Linked DNA regions of Drosophila melanogaster. The protein of the gene in region 1 interacts with the protein of each later gene in a pairwise test. Each region holds a gene or a part of one and is shown on either strand. Other genes may lie near its edges.

The links.
Region 2: the proteins of cert (region 1) and Hip1 interact in a two-hybrid assay, tested with the Drosophila melanogaster proteins (one large-scale study listed by BioGRID).

What each region holds. Positions count from the first base shown.
Region 1 is NT_037436.4:8,283,854-8,291,789, forward strand, and holds the start of cert (ceramide transfer protein), read right to left. Parts: upstream 6,018-7,936; 5' UTR 5,860-6,017; intron 5,631-5,859; 5' UTR 5,596-5,630; coding exon 5,317-5,595; intron 4,368-5,316; coding exon 3,975-4,367; intron 3,905-3,974; coding exon 3,756-3,904; intron 3,522-3,755; coding exon 3,461-3,521; intron 2,617-3,460; exon of another isoform or gene 2,340-2,616; coding exon of another isoform or gene 2,274-2,339; intron 441-2,273; coding exon 216-440; intron 152-215; coding exon 1-151. Other genes in the region: CG7201 (uncharacterized protein), read right to left, coding at 6,731-7,004, 7,061-7,472, 7,541-7,892.
Region 2 is NT_037436.4:12,767,652-12,775,150, forward strand, and holds Hip1 (huntingtin interacting protein 1), read right to left. Parts: upstream 5,923-7,499; 5' UTR 5,660-5,922; coding exon 5,624-5,659; intron 5,569-5,623; exon of another isoform or gene 5,093-5,568; intron 4,933-5,092; coding exon 4,511-4,932; intron 4,452-4,510; coding exon 3,721-4,451; intron 3,665-3,720; coding exon 3,555-3,664; intron 3,491-3,554; coding exon 2,744-3,490; intron 2,688-2,743; coding exon 2,252-2,687; intron 2,186-2,251; coding exon 1,781-2,185; intron 1,724-1,780; coding exon 1,236-1,723; 3' UTR 911-1,235; coding exon of another isoform or gene 860-910; 3' UTR 781-859; downstream 1-780. Other genes in the region: Vps13D (vacuolar protein sorting 13D), read left to right, coding at 1-701, 860-910; CG32106 (uncharacterized protein), read right to left, coding at 6,346-7,499.

The DNA.
Region 1 (7,936 bases):
CCTTCAAGGGATCCATGACCAGCCCGTTGACCTCCTCCTCGCGTTTGTACATTTTGATCTCCCCCTCGTCGGCAAAGATTTGCCAGCCGTTGCCGTCTTGGCCAACGCCCTCGCGTGCGTAATGCAGTTGCTCCTTGCACACGCGATCGATCTGCGGGATAAATCCAATTATTGGCTGGTCGTTAGGGGGCCAGATTGGCAATTTCCGGTCTTACCTCCGGCCACAGGGCATGGCTGGTGGCCTCCGCACCCGTGCCGAACTCCTCGCGCGCCTCCTCGCCCTCGGCCACCGCCTCGTGTGGAACGTTGACCAGTGTCTGGGAGATCTGGGACTGCAGCTTAAGCTTGAAGCGCAGCTGCATGTCCTCCTCGATTTTGTCCAGGCCCGTTTCGACCGCATCGAAGAACTCATCCTCGGGCAATGTGGAATGTGGACCCTCCTGCGAAATTGAAAGGGAAATGTCATATTATACATATATCTCCATTAGCATCGAGCAAACTAAGTCAAGTTTAGCCCAAAAGCATCTTTGAAGGTTCGGCCTAATTAATTTTAATGACGAAACCGCATTCAATCCAATTGGAAAGAAATGGAACGTGCTTTGTATAAATTAATCGCCGACACTTGTGCGGCCAAATGGCCCAAGAAAATCAAATTTATGCTGTTGTTTTTTCGCCCATTCCATACCCTGACCAGTCGCCAGGCGGAGATTCTCGTAGTCGGCTGGCATGCGTAATTGGGCGAGCATAATGGACACAAAGGCGCATCATTGTGCCATGAATACGAAAGCAGAAGACCGCCAGACGGGGCTTGGTACTTGGTACTGAATCCCATTAAAGCAGTGGCATCTCGTGGGGAAAAACCACCAATAAGCTACACAATAATACTGCCGAAATTTAATTAAGTTGATAAATTTGCCATTTATAAAATTCTTTTCCTCCTAACAATGTGTTTCGAATTTCGCAACAGAGTTTACCAAATTGCTACTGTAATATACAAACAAAATCATAATATTTTGAGAGTATTTAGAATATTATGCTGAAATTAGGATTGATATATAGGAAAAGTGTCCCTTGAAGTTCGGCCCTTTAGAGGTATACATCCGCTCCATTCTGTGCTAGCCAGTGTTCACTGTACACATTCTGACGTCTGCGACTGGCGCGTGTATCCCCAGAACGGCAACCGGCGCAAAATAAATGCCTCGAATGGAATTTGTGCGGAATTGAATTGATATTTATTAATTAAAGCAGAGATGTGCGCAGCCAAAGGCGGTGAAATAAATACACCCTGCGGCGTGAATTCGAGTGCATAATCATCTTGACCAAGCGGCACTCGCAGCTAACCAACAATGAAGACATGGGCTATATGCGTACTTATTCCTGTGGCGTCGCTATGTCTCCTCTTACCAGGCTCCTCCACCAATTGTTGCAGTTGAACCCAACAAAAGCGAAGAGGTTTTTGGGCGGCAAAAATTAGGCTCCTTCTCAGCAGGAAAAAATCAGGAATCGCACCGCAAGAGAGCCAAAGAGAGAGAGAGAAAGGGTTGCGTGGCAGGCGAAAGCAGGAAAAGTGAGCGCACTTGTGTCCTGGCGAATCCTTCCGTCGAGCACAAGGACACAAAACAAACTGTTGCTGGTGGCCCAAACGCACTGGCCAACTTGGCCAGGATGAGCGGAGCAGAGAGAAGGCCAAAAAAAGAGAGCAGGAGAAAGCGGGCGACTGAGAGTAAAAAGCGAAAAGCGCACAGAGCAAAAAGCTCCAATGGATAGGATTTCTTGCATTTAAATAATAAATCAATTCTTGGGGTTCTTTGGCCACCGCACTTCAAACATTCAACATTCAAAAGCGAGTGGGGTGGCCCACTAATGAGGCCAATTTGGTTAGAAAAAACCAACATCAACATTTTATGAAACTTATTTTAGGCAACATTTCATACACTAAGGAAAAATACCATTATTTTATCAAAGCAATGCTTCCGAACTAATACTTTTATCATAATAAAAAAATATTTGACATTCCACATTCATAGCTGATTAGAAATTTTTCAAAAACACAACGATGTTTGTTAATATTTTTTATCAGCTATATATGCACATAGAAAAAAAATTCAAAATTACTAAAAGTGTTATCAAATTTTATTTGGAGATATATTGAAACGTTTATTGTTTATAAAAGTGATAATACGCCTTGAAATATTTCCATACGAAACACATATTATAAAAATATATTCCACCACTCCTTTATGTAAATTATTTATGATTTTAATTCAGTGTACCTTTATTTTTTTAACGCTGCCCTTCTGAAATCCGCCGGAGCGCCACAGAAATCGCGCCGAGGGCATAGCGTTGACGTTGTTTATAATTTTATAAATTTGTATATTTGTACAGTGATGCGTGCGGCGCTTTTATATTTGCAACATGAACTAGCGATTGCTACAATTGTGTACACTTGTTTATTTATTATAGCTCTTTCAATGCAACGCAAGAAATTTCACAATCTGCACACTCAATTAAATGCCACGACCAATATGAAAAAGAAACAGTCTCGTTTTGAATTGTTTGCCTAGCAAATTTGTTTATAATTGCTACGTGTTGGCCACTCGATCGCTAACCGCCGACTGACCAGCCTAGCTCATAAGCCATAAACCTGACAGCTGTAAGCCAGGCTAAAAGCCACAGCTCAAAAAGTGAGCCGCATATTGAATGCTCTAAGCTTGAACGTATAGTGAAAGATCACGTACATGTTTACTATATATTGTTCACTTAAATCGGGATTTTCTAACAAAATTTTCATATGAAGATCACTGAAGACGTAATAGTTAATATACCCGTTGCACAAAGTGCATTCTAGCCAACGGTTGGATCGTTATTCAACGTCAATATCTGCAATATTGGCTCGAAGTAGATCTTAAGCTACGCCCAACTGTCAAACAGGCCTAATGAAACCGTCTAGACGCCCAGTCTTTCAGCCTGAGTAGTCGCCAAGTAACCGAGCCAAGAATAACAACCAAGTTGAGCACTTACAATTCGTAGGAGAGCATCATTTTTCTAATGCTATTGTGGACATATGCCATTAAAATGGAATTGATTGGGCAAACAAATGTAAGCGGAAAAACGATATTGCATGACCAATTCCAGATTAACACGAACACGGGAACTTCGTGTCAGCCAAAATTCGGAACCAAATACTGGCATTCCATAATCGAATTGAAAACGCTTGAATAATAGTCCAGCGTGTTCTACTTTCCTTGCATATGATGAAATCTCTGACACAACGTCGAATCAGGCAGTTTATTTTAAGACGCCGACAAATCGCACGCAAATCGTTTATACGAATTTCGCGCCACTCATTCGGCGATTGTTTGCATTTTCAGTGGGAACGTGTTTGGCCCCGATTTGAGCAGCAATGACCGTGAATGCGATTACGCTTTTGCTTTTACGAGAGCTGTAAACTTGAACTCACCTCGAAATCTGGGCCAGGATACGATAGACGCTTCATTTTCTCAACTTCATCCTTGAGCTTTCTGCAAAGAAGAAACATAGAATTTTACCATAGTTTTAATATCGTTTAAATGAATAAACTTCAGAAATGAATGTACACATTAAATTTAAATACATTATTAATCCTTTTTTAAATAAATTAAACCATGAAATAGCATGATAATTTTTAAAGAAACGTATGGTTTTCAAGCAAATACAAAAAAGGTAATTGAAATTGCTTCTTCTTGTAGGAATCTATTCCGACTAGGTCAACCTACTTGCTTTGGTCCTCAGAACGTCGACGCTTATCTATTTCACGCTCCAGTTTCCGTTTCCATGACTCATCGCTCTCGGCGATGATTTCTAGGCAATGCTGCAGGGTGGTTAGCACGCCGGACGTTGTGGCCCGAAACGTGATGGATTCGCCCTGAGAAAATCGAGTGTTTTGCTTAGTACACTGTACATATACCAATGGCCCGATAAGTGCACTACTTTACCTTGAAATCGATGGACTTCAGACCGTCGCCCAGGTCCAGTGGTTGCGCATTGTTTTTGTTCACCTCCGAGCAGGCATCAAAGTATCGCTGCAGAGTCTCGATCTGTCCAAATAGTATATCCTTAAAGGTCTCCAGCTCGCCGACTTTTTCGCGCAGGTTGCGCTGCGTCTTCTTTAGGCTTCCTCCGCTGGTCAGCGAGATAGTGTTCGATTGCAGGCTCATGGTACTGCCATGGCGGCGCAAGGAAGTGGTGTCCGTGCTGCCGGAGTCCGCCTTGTACAGCTGCAGCACATCCACCCAGTGCATGCGGTCCTCGCTGGTCTCTGCCCGCAGGCACCAGTTATTTAAGTTGTTCACCACAACATCGAATCGGAGCTCGTCGGACTCATGGGCCTACAAAAGAAAAATAAACTTGAACTTAGTAAAAGGCACAAAATAGGTACAAATAAACGGTTTATCTTACTTATATTTTAAATGAAAATTTCATGCCAGTAATAAGCCAGTTATTAAAACGAAATACAATAAATTCGACGAAAAAAAAACCTAATTAACTTTGAATGGTTGATTATAGCGGAACGCAAATCAGTGGTAAACATGAAATCAACAAGGAAAACACCCGAATACAAGATTATTGTTGGCAAATGGAAATTACAGTGGAACCTGAATGAGTCAAAACACTAAGAGAAATTTGTGAAAATTAATTAAAATTTTAAATGAATCACTTGCAAATAAATCCAATTATTAGTAACTTAAACTACAAGTGAGCTGGTTTCACTGTAAAGTAATCCAAGTAATCCAATCATGATCGATTAAATCGGTGATAATTATTATTTGGATTGTTGGGAAAAATTCTTTGAACTAAATGAGGCTTCAATATCTTTGAATAAGATCAGTGTTCGCAAAGTCAAGGCGAATGAATGGAAGGGCCGCTTCTAGTGAGTCAGCATTGTGTATATGCTTTTGGCAGCTCCTACAGTATAAATAGATAAGTACACACTCATGGCGAAACACCCTCCTAGAACAACACGCCCTCCTGTCAACAGAAGGCCTTCTAGCAGCGCCTAGGTCTGAGGGGTACCCCACTTACATTGATGACTTCAATTTTGGTCTATTTTGGTCGCCCAACGTTAATTGATTGCGCTGCATTGATTGCGTCGCTCGGAATTGGATTGGGAATGGGTGTATTGGCTTGGGAATGGAAACGGAGACCTCAGGTCGCGGTCATCGTTGGTTAATGTGTCGCAAACACATGCGCACACACTCACGCCCATTACTTTTTTATTAGTCCAATTGAAAGCACTTGGGGAAGGAGCTCCACCCTCTCTCTTTTCGGCCGTCCTACCTTAATGGTGGCCTTGGTCAGGCTGATGGCTCCGCGGCACCCGAAATCCGACTCCGATTCGGATTTATAGTAGGAGAGTGTACCATCCTTCAGGACTATGTAGCGTGGCTGCCATCCATAGATGTAGTTCGTCCACTTGCTGAGATAGCCCCTCAGTTCGATACTGTTGTCCAGATACTCCTCCTCCTCGGAGGCATCGCTCTGGGACTGTGATCCCGCCGCTGCCTCATTGCTCGAGGGCGGCGATGCTCCCAGCGACTCCCCAGCGTTCGTGTCCATCCTCTTCCAGCTCCGGAGTTCAACTGCCAAGTTATCTATACAATGAAACGGTTCGGGGGTATCTTAATCAGCAGGTTGCCGCAGAAGATTAAAAATATATTGCGCCACGTCCGCGCAATGTAAACAACTACAATGCCGGCTGGCAATTTGATGGGAGCTCCTATCGTGATAATCCAATTCAATCAGCGATCGCATCGCCTGACTCACAGCACCGCCTTTTCGCGGTTCTGAAGCGCCAGCTGGCCCCCACCCAGGAGCACTCACCTTTCGTTTATTGATTTCCTCGACGATCCGCAAACATCTGTGCAACACGTAATGCTCTGGCTTGTTTGTGGGAGGCTTGGTAAATAAGCGAAGAGAACTCACGACGCTGATGTTTTTTTCGCTGCAAAACCAAAACAAAGCTGACCTAGAGATGGTCTGACGACCGACGGTTCCTTCGATAAGTCGTTACGCTATCGATGTCTTACTCTCGATAGTTGTCAGAAGTGCCTTTTTCTTCTTCTTATAAATACACAAAATTTGAATTTAAATCTTCCCTTTAAAATGAGCAATTAGTTAAGTAATTACATAACTACAAACCGAGCACTAAGTACCGTTAAGTATTATTTTGCTTCATATATTACTTTCACAAAAACATGGAGAGTACCCAAATCTAGCTGCCAGTGTAACCACTTTAATTTGGTTTCAAACTTTGATTTGTAACTGCTGATAGTGCTGTGCAATGCAGGCAGTTGTCGTTTTTGGCGCCAGTTTAAATCTAAAAACGCAATGTTGTACATATCTTGGCCATTATTGCCGTAAGTTGTTATTTGAATGAAAACAATTATAAAGCACCTTTCAAGGGAAATTTATTTTCTATTCATTCGACACGTTTTCATTTGTTGAAAGGAAGGAATTATGCCACAATTTCAATTATTTACAGACCACTAGACAAACATGGATACAAATCTAAGCAATTAACAACGCCTACGACTAACAATAAATACAATGCGTAAATAAAATAAATAATTATAAATTAATTAGTACACGTTAATTACAAGCAAGTGACTTTGAGGACGCGCTCAACTCAATCGTAATCCTAACATCTAGACGAGGTCAACAATAGGGGTTCGCATGGGAGTTGGTCATTGTTCTACATATACACATTGTTGTCCTGATCCCGAGTGGTGGGCAGTTGAATGACCTGCTCCTCATGATATTCGCCCACCGGTCTGTCTGTGGGTTTTGTCTTTTTCGTCTTGCTCGCAGGAGCTGGTTTGCTATACTTGCTGGACAAGGCCTTAAATATACTCTTCGGACAGTCCTTGAAGTAGGGAAAACATTCTCCTGGTGCTTGCTTTCCCTCGCCCACCTCCTGGGCTTGTACATAGTCGGGTACCAGGTCGGAAAACGGAGATTTGGTTACCCTATAAGAGAGATCTGTGTAACAAAGAATCACGATTGAAAGGAGGAAATTACTCACGTTAAAAATAGCTTTGTCATTTCTCCAAAGACACCGAACTTCTCCAAACTTCGTGAGTGCATCTCACAAATGGTTCTCAGCAAACAGGCCTTGCCATCCATGCCAAAGGTGGATAGAAAGTCCTCCACTACGCCATAGAGCAAAACCCGCTCTCCGCCATGGAAAATATGCTGCAGTCCGGCTGGCAGCTCCGGATACTTTGGACCCTCTTCGTGTATCCTAAAGGGATGATCCTCGTTGCTTCTGCTCCGCTGCTCGCTGAGATCCCTCTTCCTGCGCTGGACATGCAGATACCTCGCCACATATTCACCAACCATGTGGCCTGCCTCGTGACCAAAGGAGCGGGCGAACAGCGGCGGCAGATCCCCCAGAGGATTTTGGTTGTCTGTCAGGCCCAGTTTGTCGAAGTCAACTGTGGATTGAGGCAACAAAAATCAGAGTTAATTGATTAATCATTGACATTGAGAGCTGTCTACGCACTGGTGACGGGAAAACTGATGGTCAGGTTGGAGAAGAATCCCTCGGGCGGATGCCGAACCAGGGGCATGGCAATGGTTGGCACGAATGTCAGCGAAGTGCCCGGCGGCAGGGCCAATCTGCCATCATCCGTAATCCAGATGAGTCGCTTCTTGCGTATGTGCGGCGTATCCGGGGAATCGGCATCGTAATCCGGCCTGGCTTCGGCTTCCGCATCCGCCAGCTGCGCTGCCATATCCAAAGCCTGGCCAGCATCCGCCTGTCGATTGAGTGCCAATGCATTTGGACACAAGCTGACAAGTGGCAGCAGCAGTAGGAGGAGCAGGCGACTGCATCGCCTTAACACCTTCTCCATGGTCACGTTGAGTGATGAGTGCTGAGATGGTAATAAAAAATTGT
Region 2 (7,499 bases), 4.5 Mb from region 1:
GGCAACGCATTCTGGAACTGCAGTCCAATACATCCGGCGGTCACCTTGCAGCGGGTCTGAAGGGTCTCGGATTTGGACTGCTGGGCGGAGTAACGAGTATTGTAAGACACACTTACGATGGTGCCACTTCCGATGGCGTTCCTGGCTTTCTCAGTGGATTGGGAAAGGGCTTAGTAGGCACTGTCACCAAACCGATCATTGGTGTATTGGACCTGGCATCGGAAACTGCCAGTGCCGTTCGTGAAACAAGCCGAGATAGTCACAGAAACGCTCCGGAAAGGAAAAGGCTACCCAGATGTGTGACTGGTGCTCCTGGTGGTCTTTTGCCATTGTATTCCAATCGCCAAAGCAAGGGGCAGCAATATCTGTACCTAATCAATCAAAAGAACTTTTCGGAGAAGATAATTTCATATGAACCCAATCTATGGAGCGACAAGGAGGCTAGATTGCGCTTGCTGGTTTCTACAGAATACGTACGAATCTTTTCACTAAGCGACGCCAATCCAACCATTATGTTTGAATGTCATGTTAGTGAGATTCTTTCGTGCCATCCAGTGGTAACGAATGCCGGCACAACGCCAACCACGAGCAGCAGGGCGTCGGCCAGTCACTACATCGAGATATCAACCAATCTTCCAAAGATTACCAGGCCCAGGATACGGTGTCGTTCCGAGGAATGTGCTGAGGCAGCATCAAGATGCGTAAGTAGAAATCATCTTAGCAGAAATTAGTAGAAATTATCTTTCAATAATAAACTATTATTGTTGAAGCGCAGACTTTGTTTATCATATAATTTATTTACTTTTACAAATTTTGAAATGATTATCACATATATTCCATACTTGTCTTTTTCTTTTAGATAAACTACGCTAAAAGTGTCTTTGATGAACGTGAACATGCCGTTTTATAAAATGCAATAGGTCGGTTCGTGATAATAAACAAAAACCTTTTGACAACAAATGTTACATTTTATTTTCTTTGGCAATAAGTGCTATTTTAATTTCAAGTAGTAAGTAAAATAAACATTTAAGAAATAATGAACCCACATACTATGGTGTGATATAAATCAAGGATCAAAAAGCGATCGACACGGAATACTATAAACAGATATTACGGATTCATTGTAGGATAAAATGACCGCAGTGTAAATATTGTGTAGATATATTATTTGTCATGACGGGCATTAATACAAAAAAGAATGTTTGTAAAGTTAGTAACATTAATAAATATGGTATTTAATAATCGGCATTCTTGTAATGCTCCTTACGAAACGATGAGAGTTTTAGTCGTTGCATTTGGAGAGCTTGTTCGATTTCGAGTACTTTAACATGAATTTCCATTTCCATCGTTTTAATCTGTGATGGCGTTAGCTTAGAAAGTTCTATTTCACTCTGCTGCTCCAGCTGGGAGTTGCAATCCTTCACGGTGGCGACCAGAGTTCCTGTTGCCTGCGTTACGCTTCGCGAGGCTTTTGTGAGGTCGGTTAGCTTTTGACTATTACGTTCAGCCTTGACTTTGCTCGCAATAACCATTTGGGTCGTGCAGGCAGCAATTTCTTGGGCAGCCACAATGAGTTCAAAGTTCTTGCCAGATTCACTTTCAATAGCCTTGTTTGCAGCTTCCACCAGATAGTTGGCTGCCTTCGCCACACTTTTCGAGGCGGATATCAAACCATCTGACCACTGACTGTTCCGCCTATAAAACTCATTAGCACTCGCATTTCCTGAAAGAGTAATTACTTGTCAGTAACTTCATTGAATTAAAAAATATTGTTAGCTACCTTTTTGGGAAGCCACGATTTCGTGTTGCAGGAGACGAGATTTTTGGATTAGAGCTTTGACACATTCCATCAAGGTGGTACACGCATCCACTATTTTTCCGTTTACCTCTAAATTGGTTTGGTTGTCCTTCTCTCGAGCCTTTGCCAGTAGATCTGTAATTTTGGAGGCTGCATCATCAATCGCAGCGTCCATCTCGCGAAGCTCGATTTCGAGCAGCTTATCTAAATCAATCTTCTGTTCAAATGATGCCTTTATTTTCTCAATCAGCTTTTCAATATCTCTCAGCTTTGTTTGTATATCAGTGATTGTTTTCTGTCTCTCGGGTTCTTTTGTTTCATTATTTAATAAGTATTGGAACAATTGACAGATATCGGTACATAACAAATTTGTTTTTGAGAAAATTTCTGCAAAATAAGTAATACAAAGTTAGTTTGCTGTAGGTGGTTATGTTTTTAGTGTTATCAACTTACCCTGACCTGTCTCAATTGCAGTTGTTGTTTTGTAGATAACATCACATTGATCGTATAGTTTTATAAATACATAACCCAGATACATAACATTTTGCAGTCCTTCGGTTGAAGCAACATAGTTTATAGCCGATGCGTTATTGAACTTATTTAAAATGGTCTCCATTTCGCGTATTATGTTTGGCACCGCATCCAAAGGCTGTTGTTCCGATCCGCTCAACTTCGAATTGCATATTTCCTTTACAGTCTTGATCACCAATTTTCTGAGTTCACTCAAATCGGTACTACAGATTTGGTACGAACTTGTCACGGCATCAATTTGCTGTGTTGCTTGGGTTAGTTTTACCTCAGTAAGCGAGAGTTTGCTTTGCAAATCCTCGTTACGCTGACCCGCTGAAGCATTTTCCTGCCTCAATTGATTCACAATTTCCTGGGTTTGCTGAAGAAAGAAAAGCAGTTTCTATAATTTTCTTGATTTAAATTGGTTTCATTTACCTGTAATGCACTCTCATTTTGCTCCAAGTTGTTTAAAGTTAGCTGCAATTGAGCATTTTGTGCTTCGCTGTTGTTTTTATGCTCTATACCTAACTGCTCTATTTTAGTTAATAGCACTGATTTTTCCGCTTCAAATGCCTTTAAATTGTTTTGAATTTCCAATGCCTTTAAGCTGATTTGGCTTTCTGCGCTGGACAGCTGAAGCTTAACTTCATTGAACTCTTTATCCTTTTGTTCCAAGTTATCCATTATTTCTTGCAATTGAGCGTTTTGAGCTTCACTATGGCTTTTACTTTCAACACTCTGTTGTTCAATCTGAGTTAAGAGCAATGCCTTTTCCGCTTCAAAAGCTTTTAGCATTTTCTCGATATCCTCGGTCTTTGCATTTATTTGGCTTTCGGCGTTCGACAGTTTTTCCAGGGTGTCATTGAGGTTTCCATTAAGCTCTTCGACTTTGAGGCAATTTAGCCTCAGGTTTTCGGAAGTGGAAATAATATCGAGTTCCTGAATTTCCTTTTGTTTAACCACATCATCGAATTTCTCCTTCATCTCGTTTTTGACTGCTTCAAGATGTGCTATTTTCTCCTTGTGCTCTTCGATTTGCTTTTGCAGAATCAAGTTTGTTTTCTCTTTTTCCTCTACGTTTACTTTAATTTTGGAAATTTCATTGGTAAGCTCCTTAGTTTCCAACAATAGTTGTGAGTTTACTTGTTTCTCTTTATTTAAGGACTTGTTGCAATCACTTTGCTGATATAAAAGTATATGAATGAATATTAGTATAGGAAATAGAAAATATTGTGTTTCTGCATACCTCTCTCAGCAGCTGAATGTGCTCATCTCGAATCTTTGTGTATAGAGTTTTAAGTTTATTAAACTTTTCCGACGACAACTTGTGCTTTTCTTCTTCCTCCATAGCTTTTTCTGAAATACAAGGTATTTTTATATGACTTCATTATGTTTAATAAGCATTTAATTACGTAAAAGAATTGGGTTCTGATTCAGTTGCATCTCAAGATCGTCATTTTGCATCCGAAAGGTGGCACACATTTCTCTCGCCAAGACCAGATCATTTGACAGCACAGTATTGTTCTGTTGCAACTCCTGAACGTCGTGTCTGTAGCTTTGCTGCAGTGCGTCGAAATTTTTTTGCATTGCGTCCAATTTGAATGACAGCTCCTCAATGCTAGCCTCTTTCTCGCTGATTATACCCTCCAACATGCTAAGCTGCTGCTGGGCTTGACTGAAGGCTTCCAGCTCGTGATTGTTGGTATCCACAAGGTCTTCAACAACCGGATCGGGCTCCTGGGGAACGTGAACCACTGGCGGTACATAACTGGTGAAATCGTTTTGGGACTTGAAGTTAGGACTTGAGTCCGGCAATTCCGGGATTGTTATTAGGTCCTTGAAATACTGAAGCGGTCGCACGTTGTTGTAAAAACTCTTCAACTTTAAAAACAGACCGTGAAAGCGATCTCTGTGTCCGGAAACAACGTCGTATGGTACACCATCGTGTAGTTTAAACATTAACCGAACGCTTAAATCGTACAACGCATTGGAATCCTGGATAAGGCAAACTATTGGCGCTAATCTACATTGTCCCTGCGGTGTCATCGACGACATTCTGTACTTTTCCATAGATGAAAATATCGTCAATTGCAGCGCAATTATATCCTCCAAGTAGTCGAAAATTTCCACGCACAGTTGAAAACTGGAATCAATGGTTCTGTCTCAGTAGTTTGAAAGTAATATATATCTATTTTTACTTACCAATAATTTAAATCCCTATCCACAGCAATGAAGAGTTCCGTGAACGAAATGTTCAGGGTGCCGGGAAACATTCGATTTTTGTCGTGGAAGTTTAATTTTGTGGCCAAGAGCTTACTATACGCCTGTATGCAGCATCCAATATCGTCCTGCAGCAGGCCCCACATTTTTCCCACCTCCAGTATCATCTTCTTGTGGCTCTGCGAGTGGCGGATGGCACTTTCATGACCCTCTCGCAGGACCTTGTGCAGCAGATGCGAAAACTTCCAGGCAGTAAATCTACTCTGCATCAAAGGCTGCCGGGAGATGATCATCCAGAATGTTTTGGCCTCTTTGGCCTTGTGTATCATAATAATAATGGAGCGGGCATGTTTGGTTTTGAGTGGCGCTTCCAGGCCATTTAAAGCTTTGGACACGCTGACGTTCTGAAATGAAATGTAAATATTATAGTTTAAATGGCTTTTTATTGTTGTACACTTTCGAAGAAGTGACTGACTCAGCTTATAAGATATGGACGGATTTTGGCGGACGATATCTATAGTTTTATACTTTTTAGTGGAATTCGATCTAAAGGGGGTGACTCACTGATCGACTATTTAGTTTGGAAGTGCAAACATTTCGATGCTTTTAAAAATAAGATTCCAAACACCTACACCATGTGTTTGATATGAATTTATGATAACAGAAGGTAATCTAAATACTGGATTTCACTTCTTATCGTGCCGAATTTGGGTTGATAATCAAAAAATTTGAAAGGCCTTTGTGTGCACATTGAACAATTGATCAAAGTGGATGTAGTCCGCATAGCATTCATTGCAGTTTCTAATTTTCTGGGTCATCCGAAGCGGAGAAACTTGGGATTAGCATGTAGTGTAGTCTCTGTGGTGTTGCAAGTCGTGTGAAAAGCTGATGATATTTCGAGCTGTTCCATATAATCTGGTTCAAGGCTGACTTCTTAAGTGAAATGTTTATGCATATTTGAGCGGCGCGCCTGTAGTTGTGTGCATAAACATTTAGGTATTTACACTATGCACATGATATGACAACATCCGTGTGCCTATAATCTGCTGTGGGTATTCTTGGCGGTTTTCTTGGCTTTCCTTTGGGCTTACGTACCAGGTGGTAGAACTCCTTTTCGGCGTGAGTTGCCATTGTTTACTGACAATTCTTGGCGTACTTGCTGAACAAATTCGAATCATTCGCAGCGCGATATATGTGCATTAGAGCAAAGACAGCAAAGACATTGGAAACGGGAGTTATCTTATCTTATCAACAATGTTGGCCATTGTTTTCGTATTGGTCGCGTTCGTATTCATTCGGATTCCGATCGTGTGCGTGTATGAAACAATGAGTGTAAGAGTAAATTAGTCATATAAACAAATGTTGTTTTCCTTTATCGATAAAAGTTAATAGAGCTGGGCGGTGTTCCGATATGCGGGCTTTACCCTATCGATTCGTTTCGATAGTCATCAACTTCTTGCATCACCATTTTGAGCGCGAAAAAAAATGTTTTGCAAATTTTTATTTTTTTCCATTAAATCGAAGGATATTTGAATTGAAATACACTTAAATGAACCAATATTTAAATTATAACATCGAACGCTTTCAATAAAACTTCAGTTAAGTTAAAAATTTAATTTAATTTGATTTTATACGATGGTTTAAAAAAAAGCTTTAGAATGTGTTTTTGAAATTTTTGTGTACTGATTTTCTAAAAAGATAGATTTTGTTCGATATTTATAGATCTGCTACCATATTTTTACTTTAAATAAAAGAACGACAATTTTAATTTGTTTTTAAAGTAATTTTAATTTAATGTATTCTTCCAACTGTTTGGATTAAATTTGGTATTCCGATTGATCATAGTAATCCAAATGTACATTTTGCTGTGGCCAAAACATCTCGGCTGGGTATTGGTTTTGTGGTGGAATGTAACGTCGATTGGGATCTGGAACGGATGTCATCATCAGTTGCGGATGATGATATTGATTGCTATAAGGACAAGCGTGGTGTCTGAAAGTAGGATGCTGTTCTCCGTGAACAAAATTTGGCTGCAGTGAAAATTCCGGTGGCTGGAAGTTGGAATCCATGCGTGTTATATTATACTTATTCACGGTGCGTTCATAGAATCCATCTGGAAGCATTCGAATGTTCTCTTTTAGTTGAGGATTGTAGTCAGGGTTTCTGGCCTGAGAGGAACTTGGGTCTGAAGTATGTACAGATTCCTGAAAATGATGATAGGATCCATGATCCGGCTGACATTGTTCCTTCATTTGAAATTGATGCTGCACGGCTGGTGCTGAAGCTGGTGACTTAGTGGGCATCCACTGATCCCGCGGATCTATAAGGTACCCTTCATCGAAAGGAGTGACATTTTGTGGAGCACTCACAGAGATCTGCGGTTGTAGCATATGATCCGGTGGCTTCGTAAATCCTTGATGGAGACTCGGAGGAAGACCCGTGTATTGATAAGGACACGAGTTACAGGGCGGTCGTCCACAGGTCTGGAGTAGAATTTCCCTGTTACAGGGAGTTCTTGTCTCTATAAGAACGGTGTTCCCATTGATATTTGCCTGGTTTCTGATCCCAGCACTTTCACAACTACGAAGTTTTCGAGGTTGCATTAGGGTTACCGTTTCCAGTGTTTCCACGTCAGTCGATGTATTGGGAGCTAGTAATTGGGAGTTCGGAGGTGGATCTGTCCAAGTTAAGTCAGTAGAATACCCAGAAGCTCCAACCATAGCTGAATTATGCGACCCGTCCTCGTTTTGATGACTATCGCGATGGCTTTGGTCACTATTATTTCTATCACAAGCTAGGTATTCATCTTGTCTGTGCTGGTCAGGATATTGGCTGCTGGCCGAAATGAATCTTCCGCCTTGCGAATTGTTTGAATCATTTCTTTGAATACGTCTAAGTACTGGGTAAGATGTTTGGGATGGGGCTTTTCGTCTATTTTCTGAGGATGGTGGATTGTTACTCAAAGAATCAG